Linked DNA regions of Xenopus tropicalis. The protein of the gene in region 3 interacts with the protein of the main gene of each other region in a pairwise test. Links are inferred from orthologs where the notes say so. Each region holds a gene or a part of one and is shown on either strand. Other genes may lie near its edges.

The links. The genes of interacting proteins can lie anywhere in the genome.
Region 1: the proteins of lgals8 (region 3) and apeh interact in binary tests that used the Homo sapiens proteins (3 or more experiments, as listed by UniProt). The two-hybrid records come from large-scale screens. The link is inferred for Xenopus tropicalis from reciprocal best matches to the Homo sapiens genes LGALS8 and APEH.
Region 2: the proteins of lgals8 (region 3) and mid2 interact in binary tests that used the Homo sapiens proteins (3 or more experiments, as listed by UniProt). The two-hybrid records come from large-scale screens. The link is inferred for Xenopus tropicalis from reciprocal best matches to the Homo sapiens genes LGALS8 and MID2.

The regions. Positions count from the first base shown.
Region 1 is NC_030680.2:125,911,525-125,916,199, reverse strand, and holds part of apeh (acylamino-acid-releasing enzyme), read right to left. Parts: intron 2,933-4,675; coding exon 2,803-2,932; intron 2,356-2,802; coding exon 2,229-2,355; intron 1,827-2,228; coding exon 1,736-1,826; intron 719-1,735; coding exon 643-718; intron 1-642. UniProt on the Homo sapiens protein: This enzyme catalyzes the hydrolysis of the N-terminal peptide bond of an N-acetylated peptide to generate an N-acetylated amino acid and a peptide with a free N-terminus. It preferentially cleaves off Ac-Ala, Ac-Met and Ac-Ser.
Region 2 is NC_030684.2:40,395,827-40,400,501, forward strand, and holds part of mid2 (probable E3 ubiquitin-protein ligase MID2), read right to left. Parts: intron 4,434-4,675; 5' UTR 4,386-4,433; coding exon 3,726-4,385; intron 1-3,725. UniProt on the Homo sapiens protein: E3 ubiquitin ligase that plays a role in microtubule stabilization. Mediates the 'Lys-48'-linked polyubiquitination of LRRK2 to drive its localization to microtubules and its proteasomal degradation in neurons.
Region 3 is NC_030681.2:41,512,893-41,517,567, forward strand, and holds part of lgals8 (galectin-8), read right to left. Parts: intron 3,708-4,675; coding exon 3,619-3,707; intron 1,616-3,618; coding exon 1,405-1,615; intron 833-1,404; coding exon 713-832; intron 1-712.

The DNA of each region.
Region 1 (4,675 bases), on a different chromosome or scaffold from region 3:
AATCCAGAATTCAGTTTGGGATTCAGCAGAATCACAGGACTTTTTGCAGGATGTGAATTTGGTTAAATATAGGGTGACCAGATCACTTGAAAATTTAGGGACAAGTCTATAAAATCCAGCCAGCACGGCTAAACTTATTGCAGGGCTAAACTATATGGAATTGTGCCGCATCAACAGAAAACAACCTACAAGTTGGATGTAGTTGCATGTGTCAAAATATAATGAGACTGAAAGAAAAATCTGATGTGTAAATTACCTAAAATCTTTGCCATCTGATGCGACATGCCTGTTGGATGGGAACGCATCTGCATCCAATAAGATAAAGTCTGAAAGACTTTTGTTACTCATTGAAATACACTGGCTGTCGCATTTAGATGCAGGAACAAAACTCACCATCTGACTTTATCTGAGCTGACTTACATTACAGCTGTGATGATCAAAATCTGATAAAAATTTCCTGTGTGCCCATACCGTTCTGCGACTTTTAAGCAATGGACATTGTAGTCAGTAAATTTATGTTCACAGGTTATGTAATGTTTAATTTTACTTTTATATATAGGGTTTAAATTTAGTTTTGTATTGGTCAAAATCATTAGCTGATTATTTAGTCATTATTTAGTCATATTTAGTCATTATCCTTACCATCCTCATACACCTTTCCATGCTTATCCAGCGCTGTCAGGTTAATGCTTTTCACCTTGCGATTCCGTTCCCAAATCTGGAGAAAAATAACTGTATTTATTATCTTGTACTCACCTGTTTTTTTCATTCATTTTTTTCATTCTGTAATATTGTGTGGCAGATCTAGTGAGTATATATCAGCCCATGGGCCCTAAATTTTATGGAATTTCATGGGGACACCTCCCTTAATGACCAGTAGCTGCTCCACCCTACAGATATTGTGCACTGTTTGTTACCAGGTGAAGAAAGCAGGAGGCTCCAGTTTTGTGTAATTAACCTTTTGGCCAGCAAAAGTGCTTCTAGGAGGAAAAAAGTTTCATACTGGTTCAGGTTTAAGTCCTGCAGTAACGTACAAAACGTGGGCATTCCAGGTATATTGGTCTGAAGGACTGTGTCTAAAGCTGGCCATACACAGTAAGATCCGCTCGCTTGGCGCCCTCTTCTCCCGATATCCCCACCTAAGGATGGGCGATACTGAGCTAATTTGGTCTAGTTAAAACAGCGGGTATAGGGCCCGTCGGTTCAGGGACTGCATCAACGAATCAATGTGGTCCCCGATCTGATGGAAAAATCAAACCTGCCTGATAGAGATCTGGCGGATTTCAAGTCTAATGTTGGTCAGGGAGGCCTGTCGTTTGTTCCCGTACACCAGCACATAAGCTGCCAAATTGGTCTTAAGGACCGACATCAGCAGCTAGAATTGGTTGTGTATGGCCCCCTTAAGGGATCAATTATTTTCATCCAATATGAGGTTATCCGAGCATAACTCCATATCATATGTATGAAAGTCCCACTTGTACACTGCGGGTGCATAAATCGCAATATCAGGGTTAATATGGTGTAGCCTTACCGGGATATGATACGCCCTGTCAAAAGTGTATATTTGGATTAAACATAGCCTGTAATTGGGCAATACCAGTTGAGAGGCTTCCTAAACTTATTGCCACTCCTCATCCAGGACAGTGCCCACATCAGTTTTCCGTTTACAGCAGAGGTACTCTGTACTCCCTAGATTAATGAGCTGGTGATGGAGCCCTATGAATTTCTCTCTTACCTCTAGGAACTGAGTGTCCTCCCCTTTGATGTTTTTAGTTTCCCGCAAGACAGCTTTCAGGGTTCCAGAAGGGGACTCCTTGCTGAGAAGTCTGGTGAAATAGGCAGAGTGAGTCTTTAGGAAGATATCTCCAAAAACAAGCATACCCGACCTACCCTTAACATGATCCCTACAAACACCTCTTCAATGCAGGTATTAATTGCATACATGTACCCTGTAGTTCAAGCTTCCGTCCAATGACGTGTAGTTCATAAGAGTAGGATGTACTTGCTGTAAGGTGTTGAAAAGCATGTATAAAAACAAGTATGTTTTTACTTTACTCTAAACAAGCATTTAGAGATGTACATTTCTGCACTTTCAACTTCCATACGTTAATGAGCCCTAACATGCTGCAACACTTTCAGAAATGTTCCCAAACAAAGCCATATTTGTCCCTTATGCCCACAGATCCCCTTTAACTTCAGGCATTCCTCCAATCCAGAGGTCTACTTACTCGCCCTTAATTTCACTTCCATTTCCACAAGCCCCAGAATATACAACAGTATTATTGTCATGAAAAACAATGTACTGTCGGCAAAACTTCACTTGTTCGCTACGATCCAGATCTCTCTGTGACCATTCTGAGAAAGAAAACAGCAACAGAATTACAATAGGAATAGTCATCTCAGACCAAAGCAGCACAGCCAAGACCTGTTATAGTATATCTATATATAAAGTGCCATGCAAAACTATTCAGACGCTTAACCAATTCTCACATTTTACAGAGAAATCTGAAAAGTACTTATCAAGATCCAAGCTGTGACTGGGCCACTACACATCCTGTGCATTTTTATTCTAGAATCACACCATTTTTATTTCACCTTGTGTTTGGGATCATAGTCCTGCTGACTTTGGCCCATGCATCAGTTCTTTTGCAGTACATGTATTACCCTGTCTTGATGCCCAAACCCTGAAAATAGTTAACCTGTACCTACAGTAAAGTATGATGGTGGTGCTGGTTTAGAGCAGTTGAAAAGTCTGTACTTCTGTTTGCAAATACCGTACCATATACTAATCTATTTGCTTACCTGTGTAGATATTGCTGTATTTTCCCCCATACTGTGTGGTGACTTCAGGGCCTATAGACACACTAGACAGAGATGGAAACTGACTGAATTCCCGGTACAAGGCAGCAATATCCTTTGGTTTTCTGAGAATCTGAGAACAAATAGGCAGTTAGAGAATATTAGTAATAAAGAGCTAATTAAATATTGCATGGAGGCAATAGCTAGGGCTCATTGTTCTAGTTAACTGAGCATCAAATAAGAAGAATTCACAACTTAATTTTCTAACTACAACATCAAGATTAGACTTCAACGAACATTTTAAATACAGAAATACATTTCAGATTACCTGTATCAAGCCCCGAACAAAAACAAACTGCCTTCCATATACTAAGTCATGGTGCATGCAGATAAAAATGTATTATTCTTATGCAGATCTCTGTACACAAACCCAAAGCAATACATTTTAGTTGTATTATTATTATTATGCATTAGAGCATATTGGATGTCAAATGAACAGAAAGCATGTCTGGGAGAGTTAATGCTTATTGTTTAAAGACCCAAAAGGGAATGTAATTGACGTTAAAAATATACATAAAGGTACCTGAGACACAAGGTCGTACGGTGGTGGGGCAGGGTACACATGGTGGTGGACAAAGGTCTGCCAATTCAGAGCCCAGCGTTTAACACAAAGGGCAACACTTCGCCGAATTACCTATTAAAGTACATATCACAGCTGCAACTGTAGCACATCAATAGAGCTTCCCCTACGACTACACTTAAAGCATTATCCAATTTCACGTGTTTCAGTTGACACCACCATGACTGAAGGTATTACAGCAAAAACTTTAGCATCTAGAATGGTTTTTAGGGAATCTAATAAGTTTTGGTGAGGCGGGCTAACATTTAGCTACCAAAGTGGTGGGCTTAATAGGCCTGATCCAATAAATTAGCCCTCCAGCCACTGATCTACTCCTATTTAGACTTGAAAGAAGACCACATCTGGGTTCAATGGTCCATTCATTCTGATCAATATCTGAATTGTCTTTAAGGAGATAAAAGGTAAAAACTAAGTAAGCTTTATCAGAAAGGTCTATGTAAATTTACCCAATAGCACTCACAGAAACGCTGCACTATCCTTTATCAAAAGAAACACAGGATTTCTAGTCTTCTTTCTTTGTTAACATGGTGTTAGGGTATCTGACTTTCTCAGAAAATCATTCATTCCTGTATCTGCAGCAGTTCTCTCCTCTCTCCCATAAGAATTCATAGAACTCACTCCCCCCACACTTAGGAATGTGTAATCTGAGCTAGAGCTGGGCGGTATGACCAAAAATTTATATCACGGTATTTTTCAAAATTATATCGGTATCACGGTATTTGACGGTATATAAATAAAAAAATAAATAATAAATATTGGTGCCCCCCCCCCCAACAAGCCCAGCCCCCCCCCAACACCAATAGTAAGAAATCCAAGTCTGGCTTGGGACTCCTCCAGTTACATGGGAGTAGGAGAAACAATAGGTTAGCTGAAAGTAGTTCTAATGTGTAGCGCTGGCTCCTTCTGAAAGCTCAGACTCAGGCACAATGCACTGAGATGGCGCCTACACACCAATATTACATTTGTTGGTTCAAGAATAAGATTCTAAATAGCAGAGTGAATTATTTGCTATGTAAACAGTGTAATTTAGAAATAAAAAGTACCCCATAAAACTCATGACAGAATCCCTTTAATTTCTTAGTTATAGATTTGATTGAGAACTGCTAAAAACATTTTTAATCGAGGTCCAGTCATATAATGCTAGTATTTATATTTATTCTGTTGGGATTTAAAAGCAATTATGTATGTATTACACATGCTCACTGCTCACTGCTTCGAAGCAATGCATAGGAAAAC
Region 2 (4,675 bases), on a different chromosome or scaffold from region 3:
ACTGCTAGGGGTTCTAAGGTCGGTATGAGAATCAAGAAACTAAACATAAACTGCAAATTAACTTGAACAACCTGTTCTGGATAACATATGAATGGATCATACAGCAGAAATGCATCTTTGAAAATCTCAAGCTCAGAGAAAACAAGGAACAACAATGAGACACATTGTACCTGTTTTAGATTAACACAAGTCCACCTAAAACGTGTTAATGCAGGCCGTGATTAATTGCATCATAAATGGTAATGAGAGATGAATTGTAAACTGAGACATGATCATAGTGTATATACAAGCTGTATGTATGAATTTCACAGAGGCACTTCTCACACATTCTATAGACATCTGTCACCGTCAAAGCTGGCATTCCAACAACAGATGTGCCCATTCTAATTGTCCGATTGGCTGCTTGCGCTAGTGACATCAATATCCAAGTACAGGTATAATACCTGTTATCCAGAATGCTCGGGACCTGGGGCTTTCTGGATAAGAGATCTTTCCGTAATTTGGATCTCCATACCATAAGTCTACTAAAAAATCATTTAAACCCAACAGGATTGTTTAGCTTCCAATAAGGAATAATTATATCTTAGTTGGGATCAAGTACAAGGTTCTGTTTTATTATTACAAAGAAAAAGGAAATCGTTTTTAAAAATTAGAATTATTTGCTTATAATGGAGTCTATAGGAGATAATTCAGAACTTTTGGGATAATGGGTATCTGGATAAAGGATCCTATACCTGTACAGGTACAGGGACTGTTATCCAGAAGTATTGGGATTTTCCCAATAGGGGGTTTTCAGTAATTTGGATCTCCATACTTTATGTTTACTAAAAAAAAAAATAATAATTTAAACTTTAAATAAACCCAAAAGGACTGTTTTGCCTCCAATAAGGATTATTTATATCTCGGTAGGGATCAAGTACAAGGTACAGTTTTATTATTACAGAGGAAAAAGGAAATAATTTTTATACATGTGAATTATTTGATGTAGTCTATGGGAGATGGCCATCCCATAATTTGGAACTTTATGGATACCGTGTTTCCAGATAACGGACCCCATATCTGTACAATACTGTGATGGAAGAGATTCCTTATGAGCATCATTTTGTATTTGTGCAGAATTCAGGAACATGTTGCCACTTCCCACAGGACCACAGTTTTTCACTGTACTGAAAAGAAACACAAATCTCTACAATGTATTAAAGCCAATGTCTAGACAAGATATACTGCTATAATCACTGCTGTAACTACTTTCTTTTATCATGAGGATAAGGGGTAAGGGGTCAACAAACTCTATGAATGCTGTGAGATTATTTCTAAGGAAATACTAAAACATAAAAATGAATATGGCTATATTAAATACTGAACTTACTGCCCCAGCATAAAGTTTCAGAATCTCAATAGTAGCTTTGATTCAGGTCTTGGATTTTTGGATTCTGTTAAAAGTGTCAGTGACACTGCACATGCTCAGTGTGTTCTGAGGAGCTGTTGAGAAGCTAAACTTAGGGACCATTGCAAATTATCAAGCAGAAAATAAGGTTTGTCTGTCATATAAGCTGATGCTACAGGGCTGACTATTGCATTCTGATGCAAATTGCACTGGTTACAGAGCCTCCGTGTAGTAATTACCTGTATTTATTGCTAATAAGCCTTATATTGTGACATTTATAATTGTGTATATACAGAATATTGTGAGTCAGTCCCTAAGCTCAGTAAGTGACAGCAGCACAGAGCACGTGCAAGGAATTAGCAGAAAAGAAGATGGGGAGCTACTGGGGGCATCTTTGTCTCCTCACTGTCTATGATCTCCAACTATATTTATAAATAGGAGAGAAAAAATGTAACTTGAAATGCAGGATTTATTGGAAACTATAGCTACAGTAAATACAAGTTGTCCTGGTGCAAAATATCCTTTGTATCAATCATAAATATGGTTTCCACTGTCACCTTATTTGACAGTTCACTTACCACGGTCTAAAGGAAATAGCACTAATATATAAGACAAGGGGGTACAATTGGCTTTCCTGTATACACAATAGACAATAACATCAAACTTCATGAAATAAATAATAGCAGCAAACATGAGGGCTCATTTGAGAACGGAAACACAGTGAGCGGGCCACAATGGGCCATTTCTTTGCATTTTGTACAATTTCAGCATTCACAAATTGCCACGGGCCTCTGTGTTCCATTTTACATCCTAACGCTGTGCTTTTTACTGAGCGCCAGATTTTATCCAGCACTCGGTGCAGTTCACAGTGTGGGGGGGGAAGCTTCGTTCTTGGTCCACTCAGTGGTTTTGCAACTGCGCCTCCTGGATGTAACCTTCTCCCTCCCTTTTGGGTTCCTCTGCATTAACAAAACATGGTTTGTATAATTGGGTTCATCTGACCTTTCGGACCCTGGCCAAACAAAAAAATACAATGCTGAGGCCTATGGAGACCGATCAGGAGACCATGTCCACCACTGAAACCTGCCTAATAAATGTCTGGCTCATATTGTTCAGACAGGCTTTTGTTTCGACCCCACATGGGCTAGTTATAAGCTGAGCATAGCCGAGATAGCAGGCAATGTTGTCTGGCATATAGTGAGCATAACAATGGATGGTCACCAAGGTGTCTTGGTGACAAGTCAAGAAATACTTTTTTGATTGGGTTCTAAGGTGTTAAGCAACAACAGATAAAGATCATAGAAGAAAATATAAGAATAGTACTAGATCACAAAGCTACAGTCACCAGAGCCAATAGGATATGGGTATTGTTCTGATTAGAATGAAAGTGGAACTCTGGTTTCCGAACCAAAATTTGCTTAAGTGCCCCATACAACATAGAAACCCCTAATATACCTATAACTGTAATCTGTTCCTTCAAACAGTATGAATAAAACCATTTTTTTTTAAACTGTTCTTCCCTTTCTGCATCATCTGAAATCCTGGCAGGGGAGGAGGGACTAAAACACGGATGTTACAATGCAACAACTTCTCTACAGCTTAAAGACAGTATGCAGGAACAACAATGCATTGAACTGTGATGCTCCTTTCTTTATTGACATCACGTGTGCGGGGAATTGTAGGATTTGAAAAATGCTGGCTGAGGCAGGCAGTGGACAGCTGACTACTGTTACTGTCTCAAAGTAGTCAGGCAGGTCAGCAGGAGAACAGCGGCCAGGCTTAGGTAACTGTTCAAAACCATATTATTACATTAAAATGCTGCATATTTGTTTAATTGATGTATTTTGCAAAGTTGCTTGAAATTATGTTAACTTTTCAAAAAACTTTAAGTTGTGTTTGGGTGGAATTCCAGTTACTCAAGCAGATACAAACAATTTAGACTTTATCAAAATACACAAATGCAGAACAGAAAATAAGAATGGGCATATCTCTGATAAATACCCCAGTATCTGCTGTGACTGCATTTCATTACCCCATTATATTGCACTGATCGAGATATGAATTCATTCTGAGTCTTCACATATTAATAAACAGGAGTTATGGCAAAGCCTTGGCTCCTGTGAGACAAGCAATGTGGAATAAATACTCAGGCAACATAAGAAGTGACAATAAGAAACTCAAGGATAGTGTAATAGGTATGGGAACACACGGTATTAGGATTTATTGGGGGTGCTCGCAGGATATAGGGCAATAAAACCAGCACTAGAGTGAGTTATAAACTTTATATGAAGTATTTTACAGTTATTGGTGTTGAGTAAATACTCTCTCAGTTTCTTACCTTGAGTTTTTCATATCTGTCACTTAAAGAAGCCACCTGGTGCTCTCTGTGCCTACCAACCAGTTTGCATAAGGCACAGATAAGCTGATCGTCTACTGTACAGTACATATTGACTTTCTCATTTTCATGTTCTAGACAAGCCAGGCCCCGAAAGTGACCGTCTGGAATTGGTTCCACCAGTCTGTGGCTGGTAAAGGGCTTTTTATTGGGGTGAGTTGCCCTCAAACACCGATCACAGTAGGACACCTCACAGGTGATACATGTTTTCACGGCATCCCTTGGTGGCTCTGTCTCACAGAACTGGCACGGGATCCTTTCGGAGGCCATAATGGGGACAGTCCTATAGATTTTTTCCCTGTGATCGTCACTAGGAGAGTTGGGAACACTTAAAGAAGCCTTCTGAAAGCGATCAATAATGTTCTGCAAGGTAACGTTGCGTTTTAAACCTTCCAGACCGCGGTGATTTAAAGATATAACATATCTGCAAGTCGGACACTGAAAAGCTGGTACTGGCTCCGCTATTTCGTTGGAAGCACATCCGGAAGTGAGAATACGGTGGGCACAGCTGAAGCACAAGCTATGGGCACAAGGGAGAAGCAGCGGGTCCTCAAATAACTCCAGGCAGATTGGACAGGTCAGTTCTGACTCCAGTGTTTCCATGTTTAGTTGAACATTTGGCTTAGAATGAGACAGGGCTGTTCCATTCACCTGCAGGAAAACAACAGGAATTGCATTTTAAAACTCTCCACAGATAATAAATCAATCACGCCGGCTCAGTGTACCCGTAGGGGTAATTACCAGACACATGCAGATAGTCACAGGATGTTCCATGTAATCAGGAAATTAAAAGCTCACATTTAAGGGAGCCATACAGGGATTGATAAAAGCTGCAGACACACTGAGTTGGCAGCTGACTGGGCCCTGTATGGGGCCCTCAGATGGGCCTACCC
Region 3 (4,675 bases):
CCCCAGGGTATTGTAAATGACCCCTCACTTTTAGTAGCAAGTTATGACTTAAAGTGCACATATAACCCTGTATTTGTTTCCCTTACAAGAGGTGCAAGCTAATAAGGCCCACATTCAGGTTAGGGAAAACAATAGCAGACAGCCTGTTCCAATATTTTTCGATTTCATTAATACAAGTCCTGCAGCATGGCTTCCGAGAAGGAGGCCTTGAAAACCAACCAAATGGACAAACCCTAAAGAATAGGCTGAGATGGGCTAAAAGAAGCCAAAAAGCCCACAACAATGCATAAAATGCAGTAAAAACCTTCCCAAAACAGGAGGTATTATCTTTACATGCTGTATGCTACATATATCATTACCTTGAAACCAAAAATGAGAGGCTTTAACCAGGGTGGAAACATGCAAATAAATACTGCATGGGGGACAACTGTGTTACGGGTGGCTGCTATATTCATGTCAGGAAAGCATCAGCCACCATGAAACCATGTGCATTCACTCACTGTTGCTAAAACACAGGGTGTAAAACCTCATTACATCCACTGCATGGGCATTTTTCTATTTCTACTGCATTTATTACCTGCTATTTGGGGGAATACTGGTGACAAAGGACAATGGTAATGGATAAGTTACATACATGTGCTTCACAAATACATGCAGGTATGGGCACAATTAACCCATTCCTATGGGTGGAAATATATGTATTCATACTTACTGGTTGAGATAAAAATCCAATTGAATTAATCTTCACTTTACCAGATATACCCAGCGTATCAACTTTTTCTAGACCGATTCTGTGTTTATAGACAAGTAAGTTTTTTCCATTTGAAGACACCTATACAAAAAATACAATACAATATAAGTACTAGAGAAATGTAGCTAGTGCTAGTCTTATCACCTGCTCACTAAAATAGCAAAGCAATCCCAGTATATGGCAACAGTGTTTAGTAGTATTATTATTTTTTCTTAGACACACATTTACAAATTGCCAACCAATTCCACATCACTGTATGACAAAATTTTAGTTATTTATTCCGCCAGCAAGTCTGAGCGAATGGTTTTTTCATGGTTTTTCACTTCCATTTGTAATTGAACCTAATATGGTGCCCCTGTTGATAGGCTGAATACAAGCACCAATTTTCCTACTTGCTTGCACATAATAAATGCAGTAGCACACACCTTGAGTCAAGTTAACTGAAAAGGAGTTAAAATTGCAAATAAAAAAATAATTTTCCTTAAAATGTCCTCACACGTATAGAGATCTTATTCCTTGCCCCTGTATTCTTCCCATCTTACAATATAAGGAATCAATTATGTTTATACTCAAACCACTTAAAAAAGGAACATACTTAGAATCAATGAACAGAGATTTATCATATTATTTGTGTAAGACAAATCTGAACTCACCTGAAATTTATGGTGAAAAACCAAAAATATAACTTCAAATGGTTGCCCCTTTGTAAATGGCAAGTGGTATGTTTTTTCCTCCCATCCCCATTTTTCATTTTGTAGGGTGTTGCATACAATGTGTCCGGACCCTTTAAAGCGAGGGTTGAAGTGAAAAGCCACATCAGAACGAGGATGGATGCTGCTTCCACACTGGAAGTCTATCTGAAATCTAATATTCAAAATAAATAAATAAAGCATGTAATTTTATTTATATTATCCTAAAAGCCATTTTTCAGATATTAAACTAAGGATTCACCGAATCCACTATTTTCAGATTTGGCTGAATCCTACTCCTGTGTTTTTGTGACAAAAAGTCACATTATTTTAAGGATTCAGGCAAATCCTGCTAAAAAAGGCTGAATCTTGGCCGAACCCCGAACCGAATCCTGGATCCCTATAGTAAACTAATAGACGTGTTTTACTTTTAATAAATATACCACTATGACTATAAAAACATTCTCAGCACTATACTTGCAATCAGTCCTCAACCAACCAGCTCTCTATACATACCAGAGCTGGACTCCATTCATTCTTCTCCCAAGTTGCTAGTGCTGGGGTAAAGAGCCAACAGGGTAAAAGAAAAAACAAAAACATAACATTTTTTACATCCTATCAGCCCCCTAATGCTGCTTTTACGCTGTTCATATTAGCACAGTTACTCATATATTAGTCAGAACCCACTGACACTGCTCTGTGGCCAACAGTGACAAGTGGTAAGTCTGCTGTACAACAGCCACAAGTGGTAAGTCTGCTGTACAACAGCCACAAGTGGTAAGTCTGCTGTACAACAGCCACAAGTGGTAAGTCTGCTGTACAACAGCGACAAGTGGTAAGTCTGCTGTACAACAGCGACAAGTGGTAAGTCTGCTGTACAACAGCGACAAGTGGTAAGTCTGCTGTACAACAGCGACAAGTGGTAAGTCTGCTGTACAACAGCGACAAGTGGTAAGTCTGCTGTACAACAGCCACAAGTGGTAAGTCTGCTGTACAACAGCGACAAGTGGTAAGTCTGCTGTACAACAGCCACAAGTGGTAAGTCTGCTGTACAACAGCCACAAGTGGTAAGTCTGCTGTACAACAGCCACAAGTGGTAAGTCTGCTGTACAACAGCGACAAGTGGTAAGTCTGCTGTACAACAGCGACAAGTGGTAAGTCTGCTGTACAACAGCGACAAGTGGTAAGTCTGCTGTACAACAGCGACAAGTGGTAAGTCTGCTGTACAACAGCGACAAGTGGTAAGTCTGCTGTACAACAGCCACAAGTGGTAAGTCTGCTGTACAACAGCGACAAGTGGTAAGTCTGCTGTACAACAGCCACAAGTGGTAAGTCTGCTGTACAACAGCGACAAGTGGTAAGTCTGCTGTACAACACACTTGCATGCAGCTGCAGTCTTTTGTTTAGCAGCCAGCAATTAATGTTGTGTGTGTTGGGACCACTGGCCATAATGATTGTGCAGAATATTAACCAATGCAGCACTGACACTGAAACACTCAGATGTGGCACACATAGCAACAGTCTAGCATATACAGTTACACAGAGGCAGTGTAACATACACACTCAGAGACATATGAGCTTAGAGTTAAACAGAGTGACACCTACAAAGACACACTACCGTTAGCACAAGTATATGCATTAGAGTGAAATGATTTCATTAGAATTATCATGATAGAAAGCGTGCTAATTCACTTTGCATAAGCTAAAAGGGAAATTGGGAAAGATTATTGTTGTATTTATTAACCTTATTATGCCAGAACTGGTAATACTTTTATATGGAAGTATTTGGGGTTTTTTTTTAGATCAATAGGAAAGAAAAAGGATTGTGAGAGCTGAACTTTGGATTTGTTCCTCTTGACTTTTTTCTACTTACTTACTTTGGCTACTTATTTACTTCCAACGCCGGAGGGTACGGTTCCCCCCAACCAGAGTGAGGACTCTATTAGCCAGCACCTCTGGTGGGGAAGCGTTTTTCGGGTTATATGTGCCCTTTAATGACAACCATTGCTTATTGAACACACGGGGCAGATTTCAAACTTCAAACAATATTTTCTGTCCAAAATCGTGTGACACTTGCCTAACAGTCTTTTTTTATTTACATTTTTCTGTAGAATTAAGTGTTAAAATATGAAATTGATATCCAATACTGTAAGGCATTTGCACAGTATCATGGCTTACCGATCTGCATCAGAAGGAACAGTCCCATGTACTACAACCATCTGTCCTGGTTCCAGGCCACCAAAAATTGTACCCACGTAAGGTACAACCTGCAAAACATAGTATTGTCATGCAGTTTCCAGTTCTTTTCTGACTGATGTTTTACAAGTAGACTGAACAAAAAACACATCACCATGGGCAACCAGTTAAATCATTCCTTGAAGTATACTATGATTCACATACCCATCTGTTTGGAGCCTTTATTTACTAGCAATAATTTAACTTAAAGCAATACTGTCATGAGAAAACATGTTTTTTTCAAAACACATCAGTTAATAGAGCTTCTCCAGCAGAATCCTGCATTGAAATCCCTTTTCAAAAACGCAAACGCAGAACAAAGGGAGGGTAACAAGATAGCAGCTCCCAGTAGATATCAGAATAGCACTCAATAGTAAAAATCCAAGTCCGGCTTGGGACTCCTCCAGAAACAATAGGTTACCTGAAAGCAGCTCTAATGTGTAGCACTGGCTCCTTCTGAAAGCTCAGGCACAATGCACTGAGATGGCTGCCTATAAGCCAATATTACAAGTAATAAAAAGTGAATTATTTGCTATGTATACAATGTAATTTAGAAATAAAAAGTATACCATAAAAATCATGACAGTAACCCTTTAAGACATTTCTCATAGTTCAGCTTTTTAGCACTAGGGGATGTATCTGACAGGCCCACTACTCACAAACTGTAATGCAAAGATCTCCCATGGGCTAACTAAAACATGCAGAAGGCTTCAAAGAAATCAAGTTGATCTAGTATTTCCTAGTTGTTCTTACACTGGATCTGTACTTCCAGCCAAGGCTTTTAAACACACTGGCTACTATGTGTTCTTCAGTCATAATCTGTTCTTCAGACAATATCAAAATCTGCCTTTCACTTCCATTCAAACATTTACATTAGTAATCACTAGGGTGGTTTGTTTTTTATCATAGTGAATATTTTCAGTGTGATAATGCATGCACACTTGTGCAAAAGGGTGGTTCAACTGCAGGTTAACTTGTAGTATGCTACAGAATGGCCTAT